Linked DNA regions of Caenorhabditis elegans. The protein of the gene in region 1 interacts with the protein of each later gene in a pairwise test. Each region holds a gene or a part of one and is shown in the gene's direction. Other genes may lie near its edges. The genes, in order: ifb-2, C54E10.6, Y56A3A.7 and C50F4.1.

Evidence for each region.
Region 2: the proteins of ifb-2 (region 1) and C54E10.6 interact in a two-hybrid assay, tested with the Caenorhabditis elegans proteins (one large-scale study listed by BioGRID).
Region 3: the proteins of ifb-2 (region 1) and Y56A3A.7 interact in a two-hybrid assay, tested with the Caenorhabditis elegans proteins (one large-scale study listed by BioGRID).
Region 4: the proteins of ifb-2 (region 1) and C50F4.1 interact in a two-hybrid assay, tested with the Caenorhabditis elegans proteins (one large-scale study listed by BioGRID).

What each region holds. Positions count from the first base shown.
Region 1 is NC_003280.10:5,747,683-5,755,398, forward strand, and holds ifb-2 (Intermediate filament protein ifb-2), read left to right. Parts: upstream 1-2,517; coding exon 2,518-2,581; intron 2,582-3,559; coding exon 3,560-3,753; intron 3,754-4,039; coding exon 4,040-4,161; intron 4,162-4,206; coding exon 4,207-4,566; intron 4,567-4,619; coding exon 4,620-5,039; intron 5,040-5,134; coding exon 5,135-5,185; intron 5,186-5,273; coding exon 5,274-5,351; intron 5,352-5,400; coding exon 5,401-5,424; intron 5,425-5,772; coding exon 5,773-5,920; intron 5,921-5,973; coding exon 5,974-6,081; intron 6,082-6,131; coding exon 6,132-6,296; downstream 6,297-7,716. Other genes in the region: F10C1.8 (LTD domain-containing protein), read left to right, coding at 6,798-6,841. UniProt on the Caenorhabditis elegans protein: Cytoplasmic intermediate filaments provide mechanical strength to cells. Not essential protein.
Region 2 is NC_003283.11:18,806,574-18,811,238, reverse strand, and holds C54E10.6 (Protein MNN4-like), read left to right. Parts: upstream 1-2,509; 5' UTR 2,510-2,577; coding exon 2,578-2,758; intron 2,759-2,971; coding exon 2,972-3,129; 3' UTR 3,130-3,170; downstream 3,171-4,665. Other genes in the region: C54E10.3 (G-protein coupled receptors family 1 profile domain-containing protein), read right to left, coding at 1-234.
Region 3 is NC_003281.10:11,943,445-11,949,750, reverse strand, and holds the start of Y56A3A.7 (Homeobox protein cut-like), read left to right. Parts: upstream 1-2,731; 5' UTR 2,732-2,741; coding exon 2,742-2,783; intron 2,784-2,839; coding exon 2,840-2,950; intron 2,951-2,994; coding exon 2,995-3,087; intron 3,088-3,334; coding exon 3,335-3,613; intron 3,614-3,687; coding exon 3,688-3,784; intron 3,785-4,646; coding exon 4,647-4,902; intron 4,903-6,306.
Region 4 is NC_003283.11:9,524,016-9,530,431, forward strand, and holds C50F4.1 (CHK kinase-like domain-containing protein), read left to right. Parts: upstream 1-2,777; 5' UTR 2,778-2,829; coding exon 2,830-2,931; intron 2,932-3,794; coding exon 3,795-4,415; intron 4,416-4,504; coding exon 4,505-4,594; intron 4,595-4,663; coding exon 4,664-4,773; intron 4,774-4,954; coding exon 4,955-5,120; 3' UTR 5,121-5,235; downstream 5,236-6,416. Other genes in the region: C50F4.9 (Cocaine- and amphetamine-regulated transcript protein), read right to left, coding at 103-184; C50F4.10 (non-specific serine/threonine protein kinase), read right to left, coding at 6,035-6,124, 6,181-6,416.

The sequences.
Region 1 (7,716 bases):
GAGGGTTGGAAAAGTGCCAAAAAGTGTGGAAGTGTAAATGAAAATGACATTTTAAAATTTATGGTGGAGCAAAAAAAACGTTCAATCTGGTCAACATTCATTCGAGAAAAAATTTAGGTGCACAAGGACACAAACTTGAATGAAATAGGCGACCAACAACGAAAAAAAGCGAGAAGTAACAAGAAGTATAAATTCAAGGTAGATATGGTACATGATTACTGTATGATTACTGTAACTAGTGAGTCAGGTGTTTGCAAAATTTTTTAGAAGAGTACTGGAAGTTTGAATAAGACTAGGGTATTAGTGTGGTTGAGGGGCAAGAAGTTTGCGGTAAACTTCAAATTCTTGAGTTTCTCCAAAATAACAGGTTCTATTTTTATTTTAAATTTGAACATGATCTACAATTTTGAAAGTTACACCAACATACATCAGAGTACTTCTGTTATCATTTTTGGAGAAACGAGTTGTACGAGGTTGAATGATTTACCTATACTTTTCAAAACTGTTTAAGATTTTTGAAAGTTCCGTTTGAAATGTCAAAAAGCTTCCATAGGGAAATCGTGTTATCCATTATAGTTGCCTAACTAGCTCCAAAAATGTTGCAAGACTCTGATTCAACGCACACTTGGCCAGAATCATTACTGTAACGTTTATTCAGCCCTTCATCACTATAGAATGTTAGTTCTCTCCTAATATGTTTTCAGATTAAACGAACTCTGAGTCATTTACTCCCCCTAGGAAGGTTCCATAAGTTATATGCTTCCTTCCCTCATCATCTGTCATTTTTAATGACTCAATGCCATTTCTCCCTCATTTAGACCACATTCCATTCCACTCAAAAACACAAAAATGTCTTCGTTTTTGCGTCCGCGTTTTATCGGTTAAAAACGATAAGGAAACTTGAGCTCTACTAGGAATTGGAGTACGCTGTTTTATCAGTTCCAACCAAGCCTGCCACACATCTGTAAACAAATGTTAGAGAATATGCGAAATGAAGAACACGATAAATGAAGTTTGAATGAAAGTACAAAGACTAGTCGTGAGGACTGAGCAAGATGTATGGAGTTGTAGAGAATACCAAAAGCAAAATTCTTTAAACATCCTGTTTTTTGGTATTCATACTTTGGCTAATTTTATAAAGTAATTGACCACAAAAATGAGAAAGAAGCATAAACGGAAGAATTGTATTAAAAAAACAAAACACTGTATTTCCAAAAATTTCAAAATTCCAATTCATGCTGATTAGCAGCTCGCGGACTTTAATATTTGAAAAAGAAGAGGTGTGGTTGATTTTTAGTTTTTTAAAGGTTAAATAATTAAAGCGATGTTTCGAATTATTTTGGAATTCCAATCATAGTTTCAATTCGATGCTTTTTCAATTTCGAAAATGCACAATTTTTAAGAACTTTTTAGCAAGGGTTTTATGACTCACAAAACTCTTTAATCAGAATAAAATGTTAACCAGAACACTTGAAAAGTTACGCTCCGCCGGTAGGTAGGTCTTCCTACCTACCTAGTTATATTCGTCTGCAATTTGGCACAAAATCTAGAGGTACAAGACAGCGCGTAGGTAACCTTCGAGTTTTTTGTGCCTACAAGGGAATTCGTTCACTGTTGCAAGATTCACCTATTTTGTTGTTATCAAATTATTGCGATGAACTTTTAAGGAATTACTGTAGCTGTTTTTTTGTGAAAAATAACACAGATGGTCTTTTTAAGATAAGACACCTCAAGTTCAGTAGACAACAAGAGTAAACAAAGTTTTTTCAGGAAATACTTGTAGCTTTTGAATTACAGTTTAAGAGAGAATTGAATTGATGAAGAGATTTTGATTGAACCTTCACATCTTCAAAATTCTAGAATTTTTAAAATTAAACATTTTTGAATATGACAATACAAGCGAAAATATTCTGTCAATTAAATCCAGATAAATTTGTAAATCCTTAAAAATTAAATTGAAAGGAATCTAGAAGACAAAATGTTTCAGTTCTGAAATATTCCATTGTTGCCGATTATGTTCTGTTGTAACCTTATTAACATTTCATTCGTCATAGTTTCTAGTAAAAAGTTTCAGACTTTGCGGTTCTTAACACCTTTTTTCAAATGTCAACTTCCTCATCATTCCCAGTCAAATGTCATTTTGTTTCATAAATACAAAGAATGTAAGAAAGAGTAGTTTCTTTTTTTCTTCTTTTCACCCCCTCCCCTCCGTTTTCCATCTCTAAACTCGGACTGATAAGTCACCATAAAAGAGAGTGGAATCGAGCATTGCCAACTGATAACCCTCTTTCTTTGCTCTCTCAAAATGCCATTGTAAAATCAAACCTACTACTCCGCGTTTTGTACGGTTTGGTGTTAAGACTCTTTATTTTTTTGAAGATTGAACGTTTATTATTGGTGTTGGTTTTTTAACTGCTGAAAGTGTGAAAATAACATTGTTTTCTTATTCTATTTATTTTTATCTTCTTTTGTTATTAACATCTTTTGTTTTATTTTCAAAATTTTAGCGACTTCATCATGTCGGCGGTTAGTTATTCGATGCACAGAACCACCACAACTACATCCTCCTCATCACACGGAGGTAAGCACTTTTCTTCAAATTTCCAACAGTCACACGACCTCGAGAGTTTTCTCCGAGGAATCCATAATATGGTGACACTAGTTTGTCTGAAATTGATCTCCTCCATTGTCTCAATCTTTTTCTTTGTTTCAAATCTCTTTGTCGGCTTTATTGACACCGTTGTGAACTCCTTTCACACATTGCCGACTAATCCTAGCAGTTTCTCTAGATTATGGGCTTAAGTTAAAATAACTGATGTTTAAATAAAACCATAAGTTTCGACAAATTAAACTCGATCTTAACTTTTAATTCACGATATCAATAAAGAATTGAGACGAGAACTGCAGCGTAGGGACAAACTGCAAAATGGCCTGTTCCTAGATGGTAGCATATAATACTTTTCAGTGAAAAATCAGATTGTTTATGACAAGATAGATCACTCTTATAAGTAGGAATTTTCTGATTGCTAGCCCAAATTGTGAAAAAAAAAGAATAAATATGCCACATTTAACCAATTTACTCTGCTCCTGCTTTGCATTACTTTGACAAATCATATCTCGATTGTTATTATTTCATCAAATAATTTTCAACACTAAAATCACTCTACATTGTTATAATTAAACAATTTTGATGAAGCCTACAACAATTAATATGAGCTGTCAAAATGAAGCAGTGGGAGTGCAAGACTAATAGGAAAAACGGTATATAACACGGAAAATTGTATATCTTAAATCTCAAAGTACAACATTAGCTGTAACTAACTCTATTTTTTAAAATTTCTATTTTAATATTGTGAAAAAATTTGGAAAACAGAGGTTTATTCAGACTTTTGTTTTACATATTCGTACTAAATTAATTTTTAAAAAATGAGTTTGTATTGCTTTTTCCAAACCCTTCACAATAAGACACTTTCACAAAATTTAGTTTATAACAATAAAAAATATGGTCCTTCTTGGAGCACTGCTTAAACATCGGAACACAGTTTACATAATATTTCAGGTGTCTCAGCCGGCCATGCCGCTGAGGAGTTCGTTGCCTCTGCCGAGCGCGAGAAGCAAGAGATGCAGCAGTTGAACTCTCGCCTTGAAGTTTACATCAGCCGTGTCCGTCAACTTGAGGATCGTAACAAGGAGCTTGTGATTGAATTGGACACCCTCCGAGGATCACTTGGAAATGACATCGGACAGATCAAGGTTTGTGCCCCGAAATTACAGGAGAATCTGAAACACTTTTAGTTGTTGACACAATTTCTCTCTTATCAGATAATATCAATTCTTCTCAAACAAAGCGCCCGTTGCCAAATGTGCAGGCGTAAGGAATTTAAAAGAGAAACTGAAAATGGCACTGATAAGATGACAAGTAGTGCTCTGGAGGAAATGGGTGTGTATGTGTGTGTTAAGATTGCCAATAAAATTAATTGAAATTGATCTTGAGGGGTTAATAATGTTGCATCAGAATAATAAACTCAACGTTTTGTAGTTCAAATTCAACGATTCGTTGGTCAAAGTTCGCCGTGAGATCTCAGAAGCTCATTCTGGAACTATTGGAGTTGAAGTTAAGGTCGACAGATTGAGAGATGATTTGAATGACTACAGACACAGGTAACAATTTATTTGCATATTCCATTCTAATGGCAAATATTTCAGATATGAAGAGGCCCGTCGTGAAGTTGAGCGTGAGAAGACCACTTGGGGAGGAGCTATTTCACAAGCACAAGCTGAGCTTGACACAAACAAGTCCCGCTATGCCGCCATTTTGGACGAGGAAAAGAGACTTTATGCTGAACAAGATCAACTCTATCTTCAATTGGCTGCCGCCAAGGATGAGCTTGACGCCGCAATTGTTGATCGCCGCCGCCTTCAAGCTGAGGAAGATGACCTCAAGATTGAGCTGGAATTCTTGGGAAGAATCCACTCTCAAGAAATCACTGAGCTTCGCACTCTTCTTGCTCAAGCTCCAGCCGACACAAGAGAGTTCTTCAAGAATGAATTGGCTCTTGCTATCAGGTTGGATTCAAAAAAAATGATATAGTTTTATTGTCTAATTTAAATTATTTCAGAGAAATCAAGGCTGAATACGACAAGATCATCCAAACCACCAGAGTTGATCTTGAGACAATCTTCCAGAGCAAGATTAGCGCCGTCGAATCATCAATCGTCTCCAAGAACGAGGCTGCCGTTTTCCGTCAAGAGGAGATCAGAAAGATGAACGAGAGCATCACCACATTGCGAGCCAAGCTCAGCGAGCTCGAAGCCCGTAACTCTGCTTTGGAGAGAGAAGCCAACACACTCCAGATTCAACTCGGAGAAGATCAAAGAGCTTACGAATCAGAGCTTCACAAGAGAGACAATGCCCTCCGATTTATGCGTGAAGACTGCCAGACTTTGATTGCTGAACTTCAAGCTCTTCTTAACACCAAACAAACTTTGGATACTGAGATTGCCATCTACAGAAAGCTTGTCGAGTCCGAGGAAGGAAGGTAATATAAGTAACAAAAATATCTCTCAAAAAGAGCAACATATACTTTAATTGATTGTCTCATTCTTCCATTTTATCATTTCCTTACTTTCACAGATTCACTCATGTTGGACAGGGGGTCGTTGTCGCCCAGCAGGAGACTACAAGGTTCGGTAGCTATAACCGCTTCATAGACATTAACATACTGCACACGTAGATATTTAGAATCTAGTTTTATTTCCTAGTTGACTTCCAGAACAGAAGGGGATTCCACTCCCGTTGTTTTAAATGATCAGCAATACTCTGACAGTCATCAATATCAGCAATATCCTGAGTAGGAATCTTTAATAGAATCAAGATATATTATATGTAATACCTTTCAGAGTGTATCCGCAAGGAACTTTAAGGTATCCTAGATTGTAGATTAGTTATTCATAGTATAGTTTTCATAGATCATCTCAACATCAAATTGGCAGAGGTACCAATGTACTAGTTTCAGATCAAAGGTTACTCGTAGTGATACAGTAGTTTATAGCTAATTGCTTTCACAATTCATGCTCTTTCACTTGCACTTTTTCTCTTTTTCACGCACTTCCTTATCTCAACACACTGCTTACTTTTCACATCACCTATTTATCATTTTCTTGGCTAACAATTTTTGTTAGTCAGCAAATCTCAAGGCTTTTAGCTGAAAACATGCACTTTCAGCTTAATCTATCCCCGTTAATTTTAAATTGTTATATTAAATTCTACAGATTGGTACCAGTCGAGCAAGATCACTGGGACTCTGGAGAGGTTCAAACTCGTTCCTCATTCAAGAGACACGCTAAGGGAAATGTGAGCATCGTTGAGTGCGATCCACAAGGAAAGTACATCATTCTTGAAAACACCAGTGGATCAGTTGTGAGTTTAGATCTTTATTTTTATTTTGAACATGAAAAATTGGAAAATTGCAGGCCGAAGATGTAAGCAACTTTGAAATCCGTCGTGTTATTGATGGAGTTCAAGCCTTCGTTTTCCGTCTCCCATCTCACTTAGTTATTCAACAACACGGACATCTTAAGGTATTAATTATTATAAAATTAGATATCATATTGAAACCGGAATATTACAGATCTACGGACGCAATTCAGGAGGAATTAACTCACCACCAGACTCAATTGTGATGGAATCTCACCCATCATGGGGACAAGGAGGACAAGTTGAAACATTCTTGTACAATAGTCACGGAATTGAGAAGGCTTCGCACATCCAGACGACGGTCGCTTCTTCCCGTTAAGAAATCTCCATCATCTAATCGATTTCTTTTTCGATGAATTTAAATTTATTCTGAAATGCCCATTGAATCCTTTCCTTGCTGTCTTCACTCCCAAAATCATTCGACGTACATACTTGCTACATTCCAATCCAATTGTTTTTTGAAATAAATTGTTCAATATTGTTTTAGTTCAAAATCATTGATGATTAAAAGAAGTGTACTTATCACGATACTTCCCAAAAAAAATTTCTTGGTCAAAAGTGGGTCACGATAACTCGGTCTAAAACCATTTCTAAAAAAAATTTTTTTCGCTTTTTTTTTCGACAATTGTTTTAAGCCATTTAGTTATGGTTTTCGAAGGTTTTTTATAATAGTAATAATAATTAAAATTAGGAGTGGTTTTGAACCGAGTTGTCGTGACTCGCTCTTGACTGAGACTACATTAAAATACATTCTACAGAATTTTTGGAAATGATTGAACACGTTGCAAGCTGTACATATATTTTTCAGCACTAAGGGAAAATGCAATCCAGAACTATAATACCAAATTCGAACGGCAGAACCAGGTGGATGCGCTTTTGTATGAAATAATGAAACTTTTCTACCAGTTAAACGTTCTTAATATTAGGTTGGACCGGAAGTCTTTATAACTGGGTTTGCATTGTAAGCAACACCTCATTCCCTTCCCTCTGGGCTGAAGTTAGTTAACCAACGATGTATGTCCCTAGTGCGATCCACATCCGATATGGTTTGATGTACCTCTTTCTCTCTCATACCACGATGAAGGATTCGGAAAGTCTCCTCAAGAATGTTTATGATTCACATGTCCTCTACAATAATATCAAACGCAATTGGTTCCAAAGCTTCGAGAAGGACGAATTTTCTCTCGAAGACTCTGAGACCCCATAAATTGGATTTGGACACGTTGCAGAAAGCCGTGGCAACGGATCCTTTCCAAACCACCCGTGAGCTGTCAACCACACTTGAGCCCCGTCAAACCAACATTGTACGAGGCTGGGAACCTCTTGGAATAAAGAAACGTATGGGTCGATTCATACCTCACATTTTGACACAAGCGAACCTTTATTTTTTAGTGGGTGATTCCTTTTCCCTCCTCATTTTCCACGGGGCCGATCAATGGTTGGGCCGGCTCATTACTGGTAACGAGAAGTGGGTCCTCTACGTTAACAACCACAAGCGTGCTCAGTGGATTGGAGAAGGAGAGACACCACAGGATGCCGCCAAACCCGACCTTCACCCCAAAAAAGGCATGCTCTCAGTGAGGTGGGGAGTGTACGGCCCCATCTACTGGGAACTGCTACCTGAGGGTAAAATAATTTGTGGGGACATCTACGTTATCTAACCATGAAACCTGAAGAAAGTCATCGATCGTTAACCCTTGAAGTACAAGCAACTCTATTTTCAGCAAAACAATGCTAGT
Region 2 (4,665 bases), on another chromosome or scaffold:
TACAAAGTTCCCAGCTAAAATCGCACTGAAAAATGGCAGAAAATGCACATTTTTGCCAGTTTTGCCGTGAATATACAAAAAGCTTAGAAATATGATAAGTAGCGTGAAAAAACCAACGAAAAGTACCGAGTAGAAGAGGATTTGCGACGAGTTTTGCCATTCGTCGAGATAGGTTTGCTCATCGGTGAGCATTGATTGGTCAATGAAGGAGATCAGTGGGACTGAGATCGACATGCTGAAATTTTAATGTTTAGACTAAAAATTTGAGAAATTTGAGAAAAAACTATTCAAAAAACTGAATTTGTGGCTGTAAATCAAGATTTGTGATTAGAAAATTCGAATTCCTTGCCTAGAAAAACCTATATACCCTATCAGGGGGTCGAACCTGTGCCCTATTTCACCAAAGCCAAGCCACTTACCTACTGCGCCATATGGGAATCGCGTGGCAAAAAAGGCGCAGCGCGCGCCTAGCAGCATGGCGCAGTGGCTAAGAGGCTTACCTTTGGTAAAATAGGCCACAGGTTCGAATCCCATCGGGGGTACATATATTTTTTTAGGCGGAGAAATCGAATTGTTTACTTTTAAACTTAGAAAATCCACGTGGAAGGTGGAATTTTGAGTTAAAACTGTATACTTTTGACAGTTTCAACAATTTTTTTACAATATGCAAATCGAACTAAATGTTATGATCTCTGCAAAACCTTCATATTTGCAAATAATTTTTTTCAATGAATTTTTTTACTCAGCGTTTTTTACTTTCTCACTTAGAAAAAAATATATACCCTAGCAGGGGTTTGAACCTGTGACCTATTTCCCCAAAGGCAAGCCTGTTATCCACTGCGTCAACCCCTTCCTTCCTGGCTACTTCTCCGGAATTGCGCGCGCGCACGCATGGCTAAGTGAGTAAGAGGCTTGGCTATGGAAAAATAGGTCACTGGTTCGATTCTCAGGTAGGCTGTTTAGTTTTTTCTAGGTAAGAATTTGGAATTTTCATGGCTTGTGAGCTGAAAATTGGAGTTTTTAGCCATTATTTCTTCTTTTTTTCTAAAAAAAAGAATTTTTGAAGTCAATTTTAGTTTTCATATTTTAGAAAAATAGTCAAATGTACACCAATGCTTGAAAACTAGGAAAAAACTGAAAAATATCCGGAAGAGTGCTTGAAAGTGAAAAACAAAGGGATTAGTGGGAATTTTTAATTTTTTCGCAAAATTTTTCTCAATTTTCATAAACAGCTGTGCTAAAAATCTGGAAAATGCAGGAAATTGAATGTGCTCGGTGGGAAAAATTAGGAAACATGAATTATTCCTAAAAAGTAACAAATAATAAGCTAACACGCAATTATACACATTTTTTGCTGCTTTGGTGGCTTAAAAATGACGTAAATATAGCTTTTATTCAAACAAAAAAAATACATTTTTTCTAAAGATTGCGAAAAAAAAAAATTCTGGAAATTTTGAAAATTTCGAAAAAAATTTTTTTTGGAAAATTTGAAAATTCAATTTTTTTTTAATTTCAGGATTTTTGCTTAAAAACCCACAAAAATATGCTAACTCCAATTTTTATGCAATTTCCCTTCCTGAAAATCTAATTTTCCACTTAAAAACCACACAAAGAACACAAAGAAATCCAATTTTTTTTTTGGAAAAAAAAAAAAATTCTGAGATTTTCGCTCTTTTAGCCTATGCTGCATAATAATCCTAGAAAAATATCGGAAGCCTGACAAGAAGTTTCCAGAAAAACGTGACAATTTCAGCTTCCGGGGGGTTTCACACATTATTTTCTTTTCTCTGGCTATATTTTCGAGTTACATGGGAAAATGACAAATTTTTAACTAAAAGAAAGCAAAAAACAAATTTTTTTTTGAGAAAAGTGATGTGCAGCAAAAAATGCGGAAAATTTGGTTTTTTTTTAACTTTTAATTTTCCAAAAAACGAGGTTTTGCGTTGAGTTTGGCAATTTCAAATTCAAAAATTCGAATTTCTCACCTAGAAAAACCTGTATACCCCAACCGGGGTTCGAACCTGCGACCTATTTTTCCAGAGACGAGCCGCTTACCCACTGAGCCATGCTGGCAGGCGCGCGGTGCGCCACTTTTGCCACGCGGTTCCCATGTGGCGCAGTGGGTAGGTGGCTTGACTTCGGTGAAATAGGTCACAGGTTCGAGCCCCGAACTGGTTTACAGGTTTTTCTAGACGAGATTTTTGAATTTTTTAGTTTAAAACTCTGAAAATCGACACGAAATCGGGTTTGCTGATTTTTTTTTCGAACTTTTCATTTAAATTCCACCAATCTTTGGGTCTTCACAACCATAAATTTAATTTCCCGTAAATAAATTAGTTCTCCTTCCGAACCAAGCCACCAGCTGACACCAACGGCTGTGTTGCACTTCTCCCCGTCTCGCACCGTCTGCGTCTCCGCATGCTCTCTAACTCTCTCCCTCGGAGGCTGAATCCCAAGCCATCTGCTGTCCGCAGAGTGCTCATTCCTCACTTTTGTATTGATTTACTGAAAATTTGACGAGTTTTCGCCAGAATTTTGCTGGATTTTCACAAAACTTCCTGTATTTTCAGCCCAAAAATGTCTGAAATCTCCATAAAACGTGCACATGAAAACGAAAAAGATGCAGAGGAAGATATGGAGCCAGCAACTAAAAAAATTAAATCTGATGACGTCACAGAGGAGCAGGAGAAGCCTGAAATTGTGGAGAAAGCTGAAAAAGTGAAGAGCATGAAAAAGGAAGAAGCTGGCAGCCTGAAATGTGAGTTTTTGAGCAATTTTTGAAAAGAAATGGGTTAAAATAGACTGAAAATGGATGATTTTAAACTTTTTTCTAAAAATTAAAATTTTGAAAATTTTGATCAAAAAAAAAATTTTTTTTTGAAATTTCGAAAAAAAAAATGTTTGAAAAATTTACAATTTTTATTTTTTTTCCTATTCTTCATCAGAACATTTGAATCAAAAAAAATTCCAGCACCACCCAACGATGAAATGGAGTCAGAATTCACACATGTGCTCAATGAGCTCTCAAAACAGAAAGAGACTATCAAAAAACTGCTGGACGATTTGAGAGCGGACAATAAGAAAAGGAAGACACACAATATTAGAACGATTTTCCAGAGAAAAGATTGAAAATTTACTTTTTTTTTGACTATAAATATTTATTTTGCATATTTCAATTTTTTCAGTTTCAACAAAAACCGAACATTTTCAGAGCTTGCGACTATGAAATTCGAGTTTAGGAGAGTAGATATACCAAAGACAAATTTAAAAAAAAACACAGAAAAAAATTGTGCCACAGTGCGGACTCGAACCCCGGCCTTCAGATTGGTAGTCGTCGAAAATCCCACTGAGCCATTTGAGCATAATTTTTAAAAATCGCGGAACTACATTTTTTCAACAGTTTTTGAAATTTGAAAGACTTATCATTGAGTTTTCAAAGTTTTAGATACCTAAAGTTACTGGAATAAATAAAAATTCTCAAACTTTGATACTTGGAAATGAAATGTAAATGAAAATTGCTTCCGTGAGAATTCGGAGAAGTTAATGAAAAGCAACAACAACATATTACCTTAACATTTTTCCATCCAAAAAACCGAAAAATTAAACACCTTTTGTCAAAATTCAGTTCAAAAATAAGCTTTAAAAACTTTGAGATCTAAAAATTCAGATTTCTCGCCTAGAAAAACCTATTGTCACTCTCGTGGATCCGAACCCCCGACCATCTGCGCCAAAAACAAGCCTCTTACCCACTGCGCTGTAAGAGCACCGCGCGCGCAAGCTGCATGGCGCAGTGGGTAAACGGTTTGGCTATAGAGCAATAGGGGACAGGTTCGAACCCCCGGAAGGGTATATAGGTTTTTCTAGGCGTGAAAATTGAATTTTCAACTTTAAAATTGAAAAAAATCTACTTGAAGATCGAAATTCTCGAGTTTACCAGGGTTTGGCCTAATTTTTATGGTTTTTATTTGAAATTATTTGTAGAAGCCTGAGTGTTTTGAGAAAAACACATAAATTCCAAAAATAACTTGCAAAATAATTTCGTGGATTTTATGAATTTCACTGTTCCATTAAGTTTTAGGCAATTTAAAACCCAAAAATTCAAATTTTTCGCCTAGAAAAACCTGTAGCCACTCTCTGGGACTCGAACCCGCGGCCTTCTGCGCCAAAAGCAAGCCTCTTACCCACTGCGCCATAAGTGTACCGCGCGCGCCTGCTGCATGGCGCAGTGGATAAGAGGCTTGCTTTTGGCGCAAAAGGTCAGGGCTCGACCCCGAGAAGGGTATATAGGTTTTTATAGGCGGTGAATTCAAATTTTTTTGTTTAAAACTACCATTTTGAATGGAAAAGTGACTTTTTTCCAAAAAAAAAAAACTAAAATTTTTATATTTTCCAAGTTTTAAGTATTGAGTATAGGTTTTTCTCTGTGAGAGGTTCAAAATTCAAACTTACAATTTTCTACAAGTAGTCTGAGAATCTAAATTTTAAGCTATTCACCCGGGATCAGCAAATCAAATTTTCACGAGAAAATTGGTTCTGCCGGCGAAAACAGGTGAAGTTTTTTTAAAGAAAATTATACAAATATACAAATTTTGCAGGTGAAAAAATTGAAAAAAAAAAACGAAAAAAAAAATCATGAACCAGATCACTGAACTCCAGTCACATTTT
Region 3 (6,306 bases), on another chromosome or scaffold:
TTCTCAGAATATTTGAATTCGAGCTCGTAAATCGACACTACAGTAACTCTACAGTAGTCATTTAAAGAATTACTGTAGTTTTCGCCTCGAGATATTTTGCGCGTAAAATATGTTGCGCAATACGCAATAAACAAAATTTTGTGTTGTTCCCCATAAATTACGTATTTTTGTTTTCCAATTTTTTTTTGGAAAAAAACAAGTTTTCAAGCTTTTCTGTGACGAAATGCGTATAAGCCAGTGCACAAACACTATCGGTACCTGGTCGTTAAATTGTACAACTGGAGAAGGAATTTGGGAAGAAAGGAGTTGTTATCTTCTTCTGGAGGAGGACAGTCAAATGAGCGGGCGGGGGAAGAGTGTAAATAATAGAATGGGAAGAGTGAATTGGAGTTGCTCATTTGCGCTTCTTTCAACACCTCTGAGATTGTGGAATTTTTTGAACCCATGTGTTCACGTGGAGTCAGACGGCCCCTTTTCGCTTTGATCTACGAAAAATGTGGGAGGTGAGACGTAGACATCTCAACTGATTTCGCATGGTTAACAGTGTGCTTACGTCACAAATTTTCTGGGAAAAAGTTCCCGCATTTTTTGTAGATCAAACCGCAATGAGACTTTCTGACACCCCGTGTGTGTTGCCAGGCTGTCCCATCACGGTTTGATCTACAAAAAATGCGGGAATTTTTCGCCCAAAAAATGTGACGTCAACACGTTCTTAACCATGCGAAATCAGTTGAGAACTCTGCCTCACAACTCCCGCATTTTTTTTAGCTTTATGTAGATCAAGCCGAAATGAGACACGTGCGAACCTCGTTTCCGGAATCTCCGGCCAAAACCAAAAATAATTTTAAATTCCTGATCGTTTTTTTTTGTTGGAAATTCTGCTTATTCGTTTATTTTTTCTAAGTTCCCGACAACTTAAATGCCTGGTCTTCACATTTTTCATTAGAACGGGAGTTAAAACATGATTCAGTCACTCTAAATTTTTTTTGGTGCAAAGCTGAAAAAAATATACAAGCCTATTTATTTCCTATGTATAACGCAAAAAAAATTTGAATTTCTTATCATTGTATTCCTCATAATCAGGTGTAGTTCTGCTTATAGAACGAAATGAGTATAAATTTCGTATCATTAAAACTAATAACACTGACCTTTAATAGATAGTGTGGCGTTTAAGACTATAGTTAGTAGTAGTTTAGAAAATGTCGTCGAACTTTTAGGGAACTATAGAATTTTTGCGGCAAATTTGCCGGATTAGCCGGACAAATTAAACAATTTTTATAAAATTGTTGTTCTCAATCAGAAACTTAATGAAAGAAAACATTTCATCGTGTTTCTTTCATTTTTATTCAAGAAATTCAGGATAAAATTGAACTAAAATCAGTGACATTAGTTTTTTTTTTTTTGTATTAAGGTTGCCACTTTTTGAGCTAAAATTTGAGCGACCACGACCGGTGTGATTTTTTTTTGACAATTTTTGGCTAACGACTAGCCTAACTTAAAAAAAAGGATTAAATATATGAAATGCTACTGATAAAAAAGTGTGTCGCTGCATGCAAAATCAACAGGATTTATGGGGTTACCGAAATAGTGTCGAAAAATTAAAAAGTGTAGAAAAATACCGTATCAATTGTAATAAATACATAAAATACATGTATTTTAATACATTTTGCAACATTACTTGAATAAACCCATTAGCACATAATTTTCAGACACAAGTTTTCAGATTTAGAGATCATTTTGTAATTTTGAGGCAATTTAATAGAATTTTATTTCTAATTACACTCTCGGTATCAGTGGCTCTCGTTAAAATCAACACCCCTAATTCAATATTCAATTCAATCCATATCTATTACCTCTCGGAGGACCTTCCCCTCCCCCCGTTCCACACCAACCCAAATAGGGCGTTGCCTTCCTCCGCTATGAATCACCCCGCCAACTTTTTGCCTGACTAATTTCGGCCGAGAGATTGTACAGTGCGGTGAGAGAAAGAGAGGCATAGGTTTTCCGTCCGTACAGTCGTCGCCTACGGTTCGATCAATTGTGGAAGTATAGTGTGTCCGTGTGTGTGTATGTTTCGCCTCTTCTATTGACATTCTATTTCAGTGTGCTTAGTTTTGTGTGTGTGTGTGTGTACTTTTCGAATTTTGGCGAGCTGCTGAACATTTTTGATTCTTGGAGCTCCTGTCAAATATTTTTACACTATTTTTTTTAATTTTGTATTTTTTAGTCCCTTTTCGGCCATTTTTATTAGTTTTTTTGACCCGACTTCGGAATTTCCAATTTTTCCGGAGTTTTTCGAATTTCCGAGAATTTATTTTCCCCCGCCTAAGCTTTAACTTAATCCTTAGCCTAGGCCTAAGCCTAAGCCTAAATCTAAGTCTACGCCTAAGCTTAAGCCTAAGTCTAAGTGTATGCCTAAGCCTAAGCCTGAAACTAAGTTTAAGCCCACGCGATTTTTTCCAATTTTGGCTAAAATCACTTCAAAATAAGAACTTCAAACTCCGCCTACTTCATCTGATTGGTTTAAAAATGGGCGGAGCGAATCGCTGATTGGTCGCAGTTCTCATTTTGGAGGGAATTTAGCCAAAATTGAAAAATCTAGTTTTTTTTTCCGATTTTTTCGTTCTTCTATTCTGGTTTTTCTGAATTTCAGACTATATTTGGATTTTTTTAAACTGCAAAATTTCAAATTTCAATTTTTCATTTTTAATTTTTAACTTTTAATTTTTCCAGATCCAATCATGAGCTCCGTCGAACTTCCACAAGTAATGGATGATAATTTGGTATTCTAAACAGCTGAAATTTGCTGAAATTATACTTTTTTTTTCCTCAATTCCAGATATCCCGACGCAAGAAAATCATGCAATCCATCGAGGATATTCGTGGCAAAAAGGCTGAAATCGCGCAAGCTCTCCGCGAATTAGGAGTCGGAAAGCCACAGGAGAATGAGGTGCGAAATATTTTATTTTTAAACTGAAAATTTGAATTTTCCAGTCTGTAAAAGAAGATATGAAGCTACTTTTGGCCGCGTTTGACTCGATTTCGGCACAAGAAGCTCAGTATATGGATATTTTGAAGACTATTGTCGTGAGTTTGCTTTTTTCGACAAATTTTCGTTTAAAAAATCGAGAAAAATCACAATTTTCCATTAAAAATAATTTTGTTCGATTGTCCAGGAGGAGTACACGGCGTGGGGGACTAGGTGGGTTTCTAGTCCCCCGCGCAGTGTAGTCCTCTCAGACAAACTTTATTTTATTATTTTTTAAACAATTGATGAATAAAAGTGAATTTTTTTCCAGTTTTCCGGGGTTTTTGATGAAAAAAATTTTTCCAGGGAATTCACGAACAAGCCACCCTCGATATCGCCAAAGATTTCGAGAAAAAAATCGAGGACGACGCTCAAAAACTGAAAGAACAGAAGGAGAAACAGGAGGAAGACGCCACGGAAGAAGACGAAAATGCGGAAAAGACTCCAGAAGAGCAGGCGAACAGTGAGGTTATCGCTGAGCTTCAGGAAGCGCTGCTCGAGCTAAAACAAGTCTCCGAGGCCGCGGTGGCGGCGTCTGAGCTGAACGAGAAGCTCGTCGAGAGGCTTCAGTTGACGAAGAGGAAGGTTTGTTTTGGTGGAAATTTGAGCAAAAAAAAAAAAAGAATTTTGAGCAAAAAATCAATATTATTCCAATTCAGAAGAGCGCTATGATGGAGGTTCGCGCCAAAAAGGCAAAGGATTTGGATGACGTAGCGACGAAAGTTCGAGCCGAGGTTATGGAGAGAATTAATAAAAGTAATAATTTTCACCAAATTGGTTACGAAAAACGAATTTTTTTTGCAAAAAAAAAACTGCGAAAAATGGTGAAAAATCAAGCATTTTAGCAGAAAACTGAAAAAAAAAAAACGTCAAACTTGTCCACGTGGAGTACACGCAGCCTGCGTAAATCTACACGAGTTTTAAAGAGACAGTGATTTATACAGGATTTTAAAAAGTTGAAAGTTTTCAGATTTTTCAATAAAAGAAATTTTTTCGGAAAAAATTTAAAATTTTGGCTATTTTTTTTACTTTTTAGCTAAAAACAAAATAAAAACACAATTTTTAAAATCTTAAAATTTTGAAAAAAATATTTTCTCGATTTTTCAAATTTTTTTCAAACAAAAAAATTGTATTTTTCGAAAAATTGCTCAAAATGTTGAAAAAAAATAGTTCAAACTTGTCCACGTGGAGTACACGCGGCCTCCGTAAATCTACACGAATTTTAAGGAGACAGTGATTTATACAGGATTTTCAGAAGTTAAAAATTTTCAGATTTTTCAAAAAAAAAATTCCGAAAAATTCGATTTTCCGGAAAATAACACAGTTTTTAAAATCTTAAAATTTTTTTAAAAACTTTTTTTTGATTTTTCAAAATTTCCAAAAACTATATTTTTCGAAAAATTGCTCAAAATGTTGAAAAAAAAAATTCAAAGTTGTCCACGTGGAGTACACGCGGCCTGCGTAAATCTACACGAGTTTTAAAGGAACATGGGCTCATACAAAATTCTAAAACAAATTCCGAATTTTCGAAAAAAAAATTTTTTTCTCAAAATTGCGTTTTTTTTCTTTTTTAGGAAAAAATTTCCAATTTTCAATAAAAAATTATATATTTTTCCAGTGGCGGCCCTCAAAAAAACGACTACAAAGCAAGAAAAAGAGCTCAAAGAGCTCCAGAAGCAGTGTCTTCAACTAGGACTTCAACTGGGAACTGATGAGAATCGAGAAATCGATCCGGCAGCAGAAGAAGCTCTTTTAGATGATAATCAACGTGTTCCAGTGATTGTGGAGACTCAGGAGAAGCCTGATTTGAATGATGAGGAAAAGGAGAAGAGAAGAGAGGAAATTCGAGAGAATATTAAGAAAGAAATGGAGAAGTTAGCATTAATTTTGATTTTAGACCTTAAAAATGAAAAAAGCTAGGAAAAATAGAAAAATCGTTGTTTTTAGTGCAAAAATTTTTGAAAACATTCCAAAAAAAAACCATTCATTTTGGAAGAAAATTACAAAAATCGTTGTACATTCTTCCAAAAAAATCCCAAAAAATATATTTTAAAAATCCCAAACATTTTGAAAAAGTTCCAAAAATGGGTTTTTTATCCAAAAAAAATCCAAAAACAATTCCAAAAAATTCCAAAAAAATTCTTTAAAAAATCCAAAAAAAAACCAAAAATTCTGAAAATTTTGTTTTTAAAAAACCCCCAAAAATTTTGAGAAAAATTCCGAAAATTGTTTTTTTTAACCAAAAAAAAGAAAAGAAAAATTCCTTAATTTCCTTTTAAAAATTCCTAAAAATTCGTAAAAAATCCCGAACAAAACCAAAATTTTTGAAAAAAATCCAGAACGTTTTAATCCAAAAAATTTCATAAAAAATCCATAAAAAATCCCAAAAATTTTGAAAAAAATCCAAAACTCTTTTTTAATCAAAAAAAATTCCAAAAGTTCCAAAAATTAATTTTTAAATTCAAAAAATTATGAAAGAAATCCACAAAAAACTCCAAAATTGCAATTTTAATCCAAAAATTTTTGACAAAAAATTTTAAAAATTTTGTTTGAAAAATTTGATAATCGTTGTTTTTTGGTCCAAAAAATTGAAAAAAAAACCAAAAATTAAAAAAAAAAGTTCCAAAAATTGTTTTTTAATCCAAAAAAAATCAAAGAAAAATTCCTTAATTTCATTTTAAAAAAATTCCTAAAAGTTCTGAAAAAATCCTTTAAAAAAAAATCCAGAAATTGTATTTTTAATCCAAAAATTTTTGAAAAAAAAAATCCTAAAAATTTTGTTTTAAACTTTTGAAAATCGTTGTTTTTTAGTTCAAAAAATTCTGAAAAAAATCCTGTTATTCTAAAATTGTATTTTTTTAATCCAAAAATTTCGAAAAAACCCCTAAATTTTGAAAGTAAATTCCAAAAAAATACCAAAAATTCTGAAAGAACTCCAAAAAAAATCAAAATTTTTGAAAAAAAAAATCCAGAAATTGTTTTTAATCCCCAAAAAATTTCATAAAATTCTGAAAAAATCCAAAAAAAACCAAAAATTTTGAAAAAAATCCAGAAATTATTTTTAATCTAAATAATTCATTTTTTGAAACTGTACTTAAAATCTAATAAATACCAAAATGTTGACAAAATTACAAAAATCTTTAGTTTTTTTTAGTTCCAAACTTTAAAAAAAAACCGAAAATAGCCTATATTTTGACCAATTTTCATTTAAAAAAAAACCTTTTTTTTTACAAAAATTTTGGAATTTTTTCGAAAAAATTGGCAAAATTTAAAATTTT
Region 4 (6,416 bases), on another chromosome or scaffold:
GGTATTCAGTGACGTTCAATTTTCAACAAAAAAAACCGAAAAATAAAAACAACCCAATGGGAATGCATTCGTTTAAGTTTCATGATTCTTTGAAGTACTTACACTCGATCTCATTAATTCTTGAATCTTCGATAAAAAGCGATGAAGATATTGTGATAAGAATGCACAACACGAGAAGTTTCATCTGTAAAGTAAATGATTTTAAACCAATAGCGAAATTATATACAAAGGCTGAAAGAATAAAAATTATGGCTGAAGGTGCAAAAATGTAAGGTCATAATTCAATGTCAATAAGGAACTGAGGGGAGCTGACATTTCTTAAAAAGAACAAAAAGGAAATTAATCTTTGTTGGTGATTCTTGAGAAGAATATCCAAATATCTCCACCCACGCTGAGATATAAGGATATATGTACGGAGACAAAGATTAAAAAACTTTTAAGACTTCGAGAGTAATGGGCGGAACATAGAGGAACGTATAAAAACTAAAACTATAGTTGAACGTATACTGAAGATGAACACATTTTCGATTAAAGTACAATTATACGTAGTCTTTATTTTAGTTTATATAGAACTTATGTAGTATCTGTACTTCAAAAAAATGTTGGTTTAGTATATTTTTAGTTATAACCTAAGATTTATTTATTTGTTCGGATAATACATCAGTTCAATTACAACCAATATAATTGAAAAAAGAATTATTGATTGTTTTGTAACTACCAAATGATAATTATTCTAAAAACAGGATAGTAATTTTGTAGTAATTTTTCAAATAGTAATTTTGATAAAGAAATAATTAGACTGCAATAATTTTATCAAATAAAACATTAACTGTATTCTGCTGCTCACGGTTTTTGCAACAGGAAACAATGCTTAGAGGAGCAAGGAATTTGAAGAATGACCAATTGATGCCTTCTCAAAGAATATAAGCTGTTTAGGTTTAAACACCCAAAGTATTCAAAGAGAGTGTCATGCAAATTTGTAAAGGTGAAAGCATTTCAAACGTCATGATGTTACCAAACAAGGAGGTGGTTGTTCGTGATGCACAAAAATTGTTTTGACTTGTTGAGTGGGAGGAGAAGGAAATGGGTTGACGTATTGAGTCAGTTGAGTGTCATGAAGCATTTTTAAAATGCTAGAAAGGGAGTGGCTAAAATCAAACAATCGGATGGGTCAAATGATGCGTGACTTTTTGATTAACAGGCTGGAAATTCTACCGAGTTAAGCACTTTTTCATGATAAGTCTGAAATCATTCACATTTCAAAGTCGCACTTCTTAAAGTTCCTAAAAATACTAGATATATTTTTAGATGGCAACTTTTTTTCTGAAATATTCAGAATAAAAAATATTCAATGCGGCATCAAAAATAGTTTTAAAGGAAGATTACTTAGTATCAATTTATGAGTGATTTAATACTATAAAACAAACAGAAACTCTTATTTACCACTTACAAAAGGGAAGAGATTATGAACTGATATTGATAAAACAAGAGTTGCCTCGATTTGGAAAAAAACAACTTTTTTTCAGTTTCTTAACAAAACAATACGAAAAAGAAATTCAGATGAAGTTTTTGTTCATAAGATTTTTTTTTAAGACAGCGTTATATCGAATCAATATTTTTGGTTTTCTAAAAAAAATAATTTTAATTGGATCGAAAGTTAAATTATTGTTTTGTATTTTTATTGTTCTGCACAACGCAACAAAAAGAGAAACAACATTTAATGGAAAATAAAATGCATCAAAAAGTAATGCTCTCAATTATGGCTCATTTTGAAGGCGTTCGTCAACTCAACCGGAGCAAGGATGAAATGGGCTATTGAAAGAACATTAAAGTACGCACGAAAACAAAACGTTAATTCGAAAATAGGTATTTATGAAAATGATTTTTTTCAATTCTATACGGATGAAAACAATAATTTAAATGTGTCCTGAGGTTATTGTTTTCAAATTTCCTTAAAATTAATTTTGGAATTATTTTTAGAGTTTAGGAAATCACATGTAAAATGGAAAGGCCTCAATTCTGAACTTTTGAACTTTTTTGCGCGGGGTAAAAAATTAGCGCGGATTTACCCAACGAAAAATTTCAAGGATTTTCCAAATTATAAGCTTACAAACCGTTACACAAACAACATTACGATTCAAAATAATTATTCCAGTATAAATTGAATATAAACCTAGCTCAAAATTCGCCAAATTATTACTGATTTGATAATAATATTAGCCAGTAAGATTGAAACCAGAAACAAATATGAAAGAAGATTTCAAACTCGATTACATGAAGCAAGCCTAGAGAGAAAATATCGCAATTTTTCTGAAAACTTAATGTGATACATGTAGTGCCAACTTGGCAGATGTCCTATATGTCTTCGAACGTGAACTTTAAATTTTAAATTCGTCTTCATTTCAGCCACCCACTAGTTTGATATCCGATATCCTACGTCCAGAATTGTGCCGCCCACTTCATAATTTTCGGATAAATATCAGTTTCAAATGGTTACCACATTAGCAAAGTACCTACCACCTATGATCTTCGTTCAAAATTTCAGCTCGTGACTCACTCCCTCTTCTTTTTCATTGCTATAAAATGTGTTTGCAAATGTTATTTGCTCTACGAAACACAAAATATGCAAGTATTGTCGTCGCCCATCATCAAAGTCATAAACGGGACAGTGTCATTAGTTTCGATTCTCTTCGCTTTTTTCTCCCGCATTTTTTATCACTGATAACAAGACCTCGTCCACCTGCTCCCTCTCCTCCCTTTTTTCTTTGCATTTTCAGAAGAAGGACATATCAGTGTTGGCATTGTTGGTTGATTCACAGAGAAGTTATTATGTTCATCACTGCATTAATTGCAAAGGAACTTGGATTGTCTCGAGTTAAAGAACTTAATCCTACTGTCACTATCAATGGTGTCACAACCGTGGAGTTAGAGGTAACTTTATAAATTAGTTCATAGTTGAAAACTCATATATTAAACCAATAGGAACTATTTGAGGGCATTGCAAAAATCTCAAAAACTTTTAACTCAAAATTTAAATGTACTACAGATATCAAGTACTATAAAATTATTGTAACTCCTATTACTGTTAGTTTTTTTAATGGCTCAAATTTTAAAAGGATTTTGCAAATTTTTTAAATATTGCAAATATGATGCCAAAATCGTATACGTTACATTGTCGACTCTCTTAATCTGACTATTATTTTCAACGATTAGAAAAAACCGTCAACGCTAGATTAAGATATTTTTAGACAATTTTTAATGTTTAATTTCAAAAATTTTCGAAAATGTTGCTTGTGAAATTATCTTTGAACTTCACTTTTAAAGGTGCTAGTACGAATTACTTTCCAATGTTTTGTCTTCGTACAAAGCTTTCATGTTTTTTAATTCCATATTACCTCTTTAAAATTAATACTTCATGTTTGTGTTTTTGGATGGAGTGTATTATATTGGGAGTTAAATGAGCACAAAGATTATTCCGGTTATAAGGAAATTTCGTTCAAGTCGTTTCATTTTCTAATGACGTTTTTTGTGGAAATTTTTAACTGCCTGTTTTACTGATAAGAAAACGGAAATATTGTTAAATAAACAAGTTTTTCAAAATTGAACTCAATACGGTTGAAACAAAAAAAAATAATTAAAATATTGGAAGTATAGTATTAGGATTAGATTTAAACTTTCTACGAAATTGTTCCAAATTCGAAAGAAATGTGCCAAAATGTGATACTGAATGACCTTTGAATGAGGCCAATTTCTTTCTCCCGCCCTTCTAGAATATCATCGTTTTCTGGTTTTAGACAGCGGAGGGCCTCTTCCGAGTGCATTTGGTGAGAGATGATCAAGATGTTATAGTGAAACTAGAGGAAGGAAGCAAGCTTGCCGCCTACTACAATTCACTTTTCTGGCATGAGATATCAACGTTTGAGAAGATTCCTATTCCAAGTGCACATTTTAATCGATCGTTTGTTGTGACGGAAGATGAAAACAAACATTCTGTCTATGTTACTCAATTTTTGAAGAAAGGAAGTGTTCGTACCAAATTGGGATTACCAGAATTGGAACAAGTTGCCTCACAGATTGCAAAGTTACACGCTGTCAACTCAAAAACTATCAATAAACAATTCTCACTCAATGTGCAAGAAAATTATGGAAACATCATATCATTCAAAAAGAAAATTCAAAAAGAATTGATTGAAGTGTTGGAAACAGCAGTAACTACTACAGAAGTTGCAGACTACTTCATGAATCCATCCTCAGTTATTGAAAAAGTTGGAATTTTGACTCATTACTTGGAAGATTGGAAAGATGAAGATGCAGATGAAAAGGAAAAACATAATGTTATCGCACATGGAAGATTGACAGCTGAGATTTGCAGATTTGATGAGGATGGGAATTTGGTAGAGATCACAGAATGGGAAGTACGTAATTATTTTTAAAATAGAAAAAACTGCGTTCTACTATAATTTTTACTTTTGATCTTTCAACAACGAAAACCTAATTAATTTAGAACATTCATCTTGGAAATCCAGTGGAGGATTTAGCAAATTTGATTGTTTCATCTGCAGATGTCGACATTCGACGAAAAAAGTTCATGAAAGTGGGTTCGAGAGTCTTATGGGAACGGCAGAGCACCAGATGTTTTTGATGTAATTTGTTTTAATTTTAGATATTTCAAGTCTATTTTTATGCACTTGTTGACTATTACCCACCAAAGTATCAACTGCATGATTTGAAAAGATGGTTCCAGGAATATCAACCTACAGTTCTAATCAATGGGTGAGTTTAGGTTTCAAATTTTCAAATGTTTTAAAAGACCAAAAAGTTGTCGTACTTTTGATATTTTTTATAAAATAGTGTTTTACCGGATTTTCAAGAAAATAATTTTTCAAGGCATTTTAGGTTGCCCCAAATTTTCAGAACACTAGTCCCATTAAATAAAATTTCTAATCATTTCCAGAATCGAGTCTCTACTTTTTACACTGAGTGAAGGTTCGGATGACGTCAAACAAGATGCTGCACGTCGATGGGAGACAGCGTTGAATGATACTGTAGATTTCTTGACTGGAAACTACATTTCGGATAATGAGCACCCATTTCTCTCACAAAAAGAGAATGATGATTGAAGAATAAGATAACGTATTTGCTTTTTTTTTCAAAGAATCGAGAATAAATGACCGAATTCAAAAATAAAGATTGGTCGTTTTTTCTTGGTGACGAATGAATAAATCTTCAATACAAGAACGGAAAGATGCATCTCTTGACAACGTAGATATACGGACGACAAAATAATAAATGTATGACGTGTGAGAAAACACTTGAAGCTTGCTTAAAAAAGGGATTGGGTGTCTTCGAGAAAATCAGAACATTTCTTTCAAATTAAATTATGTAAGAAGATGTTCATATTACAATATATAAATAGCAATATACTATTTATAAATTATATTGTAAATAGATATTAATTACTTAATTTATTTATTTACGCTCGCGAAGAGACGTGGAAAAAGTTGAAGAAAAAAGAAAAATGTACACATAATAGATCATAAATACAATACACTGAATAAGAGGGATAGAAACAAGAAGAATAAATAGGAACGAAAGTTTGTTAACAGGACAGTTAGGTCAGGCGGGAGGAGATAATGTTATGTGGGTAGTTCATGAATCATCAGTTGTCAGACATCTCGTTATTCAAGATCTGATATATGTTTTAGAAACTTGGGGCTACTCAGCGTACGGTTTACAATAAAATGCTTATTGTAAATAATATTGTAAATAATTATATTGAAAATATGTTGAAAATAGAACAAAAAATGCAGCATCCGAAAGTTTCAGATGAAGAGTTTCAGCACTTGGTACATCTATAGCAGATTTTGAAGAGATGTTTGTATCCAAACATCTTTTGGCAGTTGATCAAGAAATTAATGATAGAAAAATATCACACCATAAATTCGCACATTTCTTTGAAAATAAAATCTTTTCAGAGTATTTGAATGTATAGTAATTGTCACAATCTTTATTCGAGAATATCGAGAGGATGTAGTTACACGTCTCCAAGTGAATTAGTTCCTCCCTGTTCCCAATCATAAGGATGTTCCGGTTGAGGACTTCTGCGCATTGCCCGACGGAGAATCTAAAATATTAGGATTTTACAGAAACAATGCTTAACAATTGTAAATAAAACCATACGTTGCAGATATTAACATAATCGGGAGCTGTGAAATAATTGTAGGAATCAATGAGAATCATCACTTCACGAAGTTCTTCCATCGGACAAGGTGCTCTCAAGAAAAGAGCGATTGCTGATGGGTGACGACTTTGTTGCTTGACTCGTGCAACTGCAGCACCATCTGGAAGACCTTTCCATGGAAGTTGTCCAGTGATCATTTCAACGATAACGTAGAAAGCTGATTCTAAATCATCTT